Ovis aries: one gene and its partner. The protein of the gene in region 2 purifies or fractionates together with the protein of the main gene of each other region. This does not show direct contact. Links are inferred from orthologs where the notes say so. Each region holds a gene or a part of one and is shown on either strand. Other genes may lie near its edges.

What was found.
Region 1: the proteins of DHX15 (region 2) and GCFC2 purify together in Homo sapiens (co-immunoprecipitation; 3 studies listed by BioGRID and IntAct, with this or other methods). This does not show direct contact. The link is inferred for Ovis aries from reciprocal best matches to the Homo sapiens genes DHX15 and GCFC2.

Annotation. Positions count from the first base shown.
Region 1 is NC_056056.1:62,826,503-62,830,156, forward strand, and holds part of GCFC2 (intron Large complex component GCFC2), read right to left. Parts: intron 2,584-3,654; coding exon 2,458-2,583; intron 1-2,457.
Region 2 is NC_056059.1:44,726,996-44,730,649, forward strand, and holds part of DHX15 (ATP-dependent RNA helicase DHX15), read right to left. Parts: intron 2,545-3,654; coding exon 2,326-2,544; intron 1-2,325.

The sequences.
Region 1 (3,654 bases), on a different chromosome or scaffold from region 2:
TACCAATGACGTTTTTCATAGAACTAGAACAAATAATCCTAAAATTTATAAGGAACCACAAGAACTGCCAAAGCAATCCTGAGGATAAAGAAGAAAGCTGGAAACACAACTCTCCCAGACTTCAGATAATACTACAGAGCTACAGTAGAGCCCAGAAATAAAACCACACACCTACTGTCAATTAATCTTGACAAAGGAGGCAAGAACAGAACGACAAAAAAAAAGACTCACAGACGTAGGAAAAAAACATATATTTACCAGAGGGGAAAGGGTGTCAGGGAGAAATAAATTACGAGTATGAGATTGAACAAACTACTATATATAAAACAGATAAGCAATAAAGACTTACTGTACAGCACAGGGAACTATATGCAATATCTTAAAATAACTTAAATGCAAAAATAATCTGAAAAAATATATATATAACTCAATCAGTTTGCTGTACACCTGAAACTAATACTGTAAGTCAACTGTACTTCTATTTAAAAAAACAGAGGTTAATACTATGCCCCATTGGTAAGCAGTCTCTGCAACAATGAATATCTCAAGGCAGACATTCCAGTACAGGATCATTCTAATAGATGTATCATCTGAACAACAACAACAACAAAAATAAACGCACTGTATCTTCTATATACTTCCTTAAACTTATCTCATTTCTTCTTTCCTCTCCAGAATAAAAGAAAAAATAAAATGTTCCTTACAAGGCAAGTTTTCATCTTGCAATAACACCTTAGGGACTACGTGTTGGATAATCAAAAATTATCCAATACATTTCCAAACTCTGCCTTCTCTCCTTAGGTTCCCAGTGCTACCAACACTTTACAAGTACTACCTTACCCTGTCTAATCATGCCATAGCAGCATGTTAAATACAGTAACCACCAGCCACGTGTGATTATTTAAGCAAACTAAAAACCGAGTTCCTTAGTCACACTAGCCACATTCCAAGAATTTTACTGCCATGTGTAGCTAGTGGATAATGTACTGGATGGTGAAGATACAGGACCTTCATAGAAAGTTTTACTGGACAGCACCGTATCTAGAGTCTGGACAAAACTTTACTTGTTTACTAGACTTCAATTCTTAATACTGGCTTCATCACTAAGTACTTATGTAGCTTAATGAACTTGTTTAAGAAAAATAATTACAAGAACTTCTGGTTATTGTTATTTCATATGTTAACAAAGCACTTGCTACTATATTATAAATCTTTAAAAATATGTACTAATAATTATACTTCAAATTAACTTGTTTTCTTTATAAAGCTATACATTTTGTTTTGCTCAGAAGGGGTCTTAGGCTTTATGAGACTGAAGACAGTCCACAGCACAAGAGAAGTTAAGAACCTTGAATTAGAGTAGGCCAAGGAAATATTTCCGGCTTTTTGGGCCATAAAGTCTGTTATGACTTCTCAGCTCTGCCATTGTAGTGCAAAAGCATCCACAGAAAATACATAATTGAATGAGCATGGCTTTAATAAAACTTTATTCACAAAAGCAGATAGTGGGCCAGATTTGGCAAACAGGTGGTAATTTGTCAACCCTTGAATGGAATTATCTAAGACACAAAAATGGTCATGTCATCTATTTGCATAAAGTTTTCAGTAGTTTCCTCAAAACCCTGGATTATCTGACTTCAATCTGTATCTTACTTTCTTTTTTTCCTTCTTTCTTAAAACTTAACCAAGAATTTTCAGCCCAACAACTACTTTTTAGCTCTCTGCACATTACTCTGGTTATCTTCCCTAGGTTTTTATATAATGCGCATCCTGTACCTGAAACATCCTCATACACAAATTCTTACCATCTTTCAGACACTGAAAGATGGCATGAACCACTCAGTAGAGCACAATGGTTAAGAATTCAGGCTCTGAGGCAGCCAGGGCCCAGAGTAGTTCAATATCCTTTTAGACTAACTCAGCTATTTAAAAGCAGAGTGAGGAGTGGAACTCAGCTCTCTATCATTAATTTTTTCAGCATTTATAGATCATTAACTATGCTCAGGTAAACATTATGCTGAACCTGAGATGTATAAAGGCAAGACCCCTTCTCTAGCCCCAGTCAAACTGCTCAGCTAATGCCACATGGAACACAGTTTAATCTCTGTTAAGCTCTGCCCAAATTCTTGACCCACAAAATTGTGGGACATAATAAGAAAACTGCTATTATAAAATAAAATAAGTAAATAAACCCGAAACAAAACAAAACAAAAAGGACATAGGCTCTGCAGCAGATTCCCCAGGTTGGAATCCTAGTGCTGCCTATTATAAGCCCATCTGACCTTGGGCATGTTATATAATGGAAGTGACAGCCAATTTTGGTCCCTTGACAATAATTAGAAATAACTTACTTGCCCCATACTTCACTAGAGTTTTATCAAAAACAAGAATCACTGGTATAGAAAAATACTAATATTAGAAATAAAATTCTTAACCAAAATTACAAATATTACTGACCTACTGATGAAAACTCGTCCTCCAGAGTCCTAGAGCTGTTGGGAGATGAACTCTGATCATCTTTACTTTCTGAAGAATGGTGTGCTCCATCCTCTTCTTCGGCTGAAAGATAAACCATTCTGGATTCTAACAGGACATTTTTTGAATATAACATGAAAGATTCAGGATATTGGAATCAATAAATGAAATTCTACACAACACATAGTGTATGTAAAATATGGTGTTTTAATTTTATTCCACATATTTAAAGTAGACATGCAGACCTTTCTTTAACTTCCTTTCTTTCTGAAATGAACAGTCTAATAAATATGCAACAATATATCCTATTTGCATTATCTACTTAACTAGTGAAATACTTAACTAGTGATATAACATGAAATACATACTATTAAAGAATGCAACAAAAAGAGGGAAGGGAAAAAACAAAAAGAGAAAAAAGTAAATGACCAAAAAAAGAAGGAATATTTAAAAGAGAAAAGACGAACAGTGGTAGTAAATAAGCAGATAAAGAAGAGAACACTTAATGTATACTTGCTATGTGCTAGGCATACTGAAGTCTGTTTTACAAAATATATTTCATTTAGTTCTCACAATTCAATAAAGTAAATGCTATTACTGATGAGGACACTAGGGACTGGAATGGCTAAATAACATGCCCAGTATCACAAAGTTACTAAATGGAGAAATCCAACTCTTGGATTCAGGCTGGTGGTAAGAAGTATTATAATGGGCACTGCAGTCTCAAACTAAATCATGGATCTATTTCCACTGTGTGATTCTGGAAAGGACACAGTCAATTAATCAATAAACAAAGATAGTATTAAAAGAGAACACCCCATAGAAGTGTTATCAGGACTGAATGAGCAAAACGTAAAGGAACTCATGGTATTATTGACAAAAAAGGACTTGTTGGTTCACAATTATTTTGTAATATTTGTGAATAACCTTAAGATTTAAGATTGCATAATAACTACTCTATCTTAAAAATGCTCCCTAAGGATTTCCCTGGCAGCCCAGTGGCTAAGACTGAGCCTTCCAATGAAGGGAGTGCAGGTTTGAACCCTGCTTAGGGAACGAAGATGCTACCAATCATGCATGGGTAAAAGATTCACTCAGAGCGCAAAACACATGGATGGATTTTAATCTAATTGAGCATAACAAAATGATATGGTTTCAGCTCCCACGTATCATGCAGAA
Region 2 (3,654 bases):
AACATTCAACTGGAACAGTGACTTTTAACCTAAGAGAACAGAAAAATGGCCTTTAGAGCTTGTTAAAGACACAAAAGAGAAGGTAATGGCACTCCACTCCAGTACTCTTGCCTGGAAAATCCCATGGATGGAGGAGCCTGGTGGGCTGCAGTCCATGGGGTCGCTAAGAGTCGGACATGACTGAGTGGCTTCACTTTCACTTTCATGCACTGGAAAAGGAAATGGCAATCCACTCCAGTGTTCTTGCCTGGAGAATCCCAGTGAAGGAGGAGCCTGGTGGGGTGCCATCTATGGGGTGGCACAGAGGTGGACACGACTGAAGCGACTTAGCAGCAGCAGCAAGGATGCAGATTCTTACAGTATTTCATCTGTAAATTTCATCTGTTTCAGCAAGCCTGAAACAGGGCCAAGAACTTGCTTTAACAAATTCCCCTACCCAAGGCAGGCAATCCACTGACCACACTTGAAAAAAAAATGTTCTAGAGCAGGGATCAGATTTCTTACTATAAAGGGCCAAAATTTTTTAGGCTTTCCATCCATATACCACCTCTGAAGCATATTCTTTGCTTTCCATCCATACACCACCTCTGAAGCATATTCTTTGTTTTCATATAAACCCTTAAAATATGTAAAAACTAAAACTAAAATATGTAAAAACAGTTCTTAAAATATGTAAAAACTAAAACAAGAGGGTCAAGCACATGTAACTAAATTAATTAAAATTCTATAAAATTAAATTTTAGTTCCTCCTCTCACTAGCTGCAATGCAAATACTCAAGTTCATTATATTGTTGCAGCTACAAAAACTAATAGTGTGGCATCTAGTTTCATTACTTCATGGCAAATAGATGGGGAAACAATGAAAACAGTGACAGACTTTATTTGGGGGGACTCCAAAATCACTGCAGATGGTGACTGCAGCCATGAAATTAAAAAATGCTTGCTCCTTGGAAGAAAAGCTATGACAAACCTAGACAGCATACTAAAAAGCAGAGACATTACTTTGCTGACAAAGGTCCATCTAGTCAAAGCTACGGTTTTTTCAGTAGGCATGTATGGATGTGAGAGTTGGAGTATAAACAAAGCTGAGCACCAAAGAACTGATGCTTTTGAATTGTGGTGTTGGAGAAGACTCTTGAGAGTCTCTTGGACTGCAAGGAGATCAAACCAGTCAATCCTAAAGGCAAATCAATCCTGATTTTTCACTGGAAGGGCTGATGCTGAAGCTCCAACTTTGGCCTCCTGATGTGAAGAGGAGCTAACTCACTGGAAAAGACCCTGATACTTGCAAAAGACTGAGAGCAGGAGAAAGGGGCTACAGAGGATGAGATGGTTGGATGGCATCATTGACTTAATGTATGTGAGTCTGAGCAAACTCAGGGAGATAGTGAAGGACAGGGAAGGCTGGTGTGCTGCATTCCAATGGGTTGCAAAGAATCAGACATGGCTGAGCAACTGAACAGCAACAACTATATTGAACAGTATAGACATAAAAACATTTCCACATGTAAAGAAAGTTCTAATGGAGTAGCACTGTTCTAGAAACAGACTCTCAGATCAGACCCTATATCTGACCTAGCGAATAAAAATCTGCAAGATTTCCAAATGACTGGCATGTATATTAGTTTGAGAAGGACACTGCAGAAAATTCACAAAGCCTATCACAACAAATGACAAACTTTCAGAAAACCTCTAAAAGAGTTTCTTTTATCCAGATAACTCACTGAACTTATTTAAGCCATCAAAAATTTCATAGCCCACCTGTAAACATCCTGATGGAAATGAGTTTAGAAAATGCTGCATGTGAGAATAAAATCCCTATCTTAAAAATGATGTAAAGTCTAAAGAATTTCAGTGATTCCTTCCAATTCTCAATAAACACATGTAGGAAGACAAAAACAAAACACAAACACTTGTTTTGATGGTAGATGGGCACCTGAGTTATACAAATTCCCTTACAAACTAAATTACTGCCTAGAGTAACCAGATTTCATTCATGGCTCAGCAGAATGGCAAATTAGCACAAAATCACTTGCCACTCGGGTCTCTCCAAAGTTGAGATTAAAACTGCTAAATCCTGAAATTCTAAAAGCATTTAATATTCTCAGGATATCAACTAGAACACAAATGTTAACAGCATAAAAGGGTATATTCCTAGAGTACATACAGGGAGTTATATATTTCATATATAAATACAATCATGCTGAAGAAAAACTTTCTAGACACTGGGATGAGAAATACATGGTTAATGTATGTTGGGTTCCTAAGTTTAAAGGTGTTGCCTAATAGAAATAATATAAATAAGGAACCAAGTAACGACAATACCTCTTGACCAGTTAAGAAAAGTAGTAGATCTCCTTCCTCCTCTTCACACATGTGAATTTGGATCACGGTTCGAATTGCCGCTTCAAGATAATCTCTCTCTGGTTCAGGAGTATAAAAGATCTCAACAGGATGTGTACGCCCAGGAATAGTTAAGAGAGGACAGTTATCAAAGTAAATCTGGAATTTTCCTGCATCCAGAGTAGCACTCATAACTATAACCTGAAAAGAAAACAGTAAATTATTTGAAGCTGTCTTCAGAGATTGTAAAGAGATGAGTAATGTTTACTGCTCCATATATGTCAACTATGGTGTCTCTAGTGGCTCAGAGAGTAAAGAATCGGCCTGCAAAGCCGGAGACTGTGGTTCTATCCCTGGGTCAGTAAGATCCCCTGGAGAAAAGAAGGACTAACCACTCCAGTATTGTTTCCTGGAGAATTCCAAGGACAGAGGAGCAAGGCGGGCTAGTCTATGGGGTCACAAAGAGTCAAGACATGACTAAAGCAACTAACACTTTCACTCCTCATATATTAATTATGCCTTAAAAGTTGTGATAAATCAAATATAGAAAAGCTGAGCTACAGTAAATTTAATTTTTAAAAAGTAGGAATAAACCTGATAACCAATAAATAAACTACTGTATATTTTCATGAAGCAACACCTTAAAAACCAAAGTTTATAAAATTACATAAAAGGAACTGATAAGAGACATCAATATGTAATATGATTGTTACTATGCTATTAAAACAAAAAGTGACAACCTCGCACACAGGGAAAAACAAAAAAAGCAAAAAATAAATCAGTGGTACAAATATTTCTCCATTCTTCCAAATCATCTTTACTAAGCATAAGTTCTTCAGAAAACTTTCTAAAACAAACAGGTTTTCTATACTACTGAAAAAGCCACAGCAACAAAAGGTTGTTCAGGTACCGGCTGCATGACTGTGTGGTCACCCTCTCTTTATTTAAATTATACATGACAAAACCCATTAAACAAAAAGCTCTCCCATTAAACATTCCACTATAGAGTTCTTAATTTCTATTTTTGAGTTCCTCCCTCAAAATTTCAATAGCTCATAACGTTTAATCAGTAATAGTACTCAGTTGTTCAAATATATTCTTTAAAGTATACATTTAATTTTTATAGTAAAATCAAACTCAGTATCAATTTTTTTAAGACCCAGAATCTTTCTCCCCAGTGTACAAACCTCTGTAACACATACAATAACACTCAACACCAAGTTCCAATGAACTGCACACATACAATGCAAAAAGGTAACGTCATAAAATTTGGGAGACAAAAATGTCCACACAGTCAGTCAGTTTTAAGCC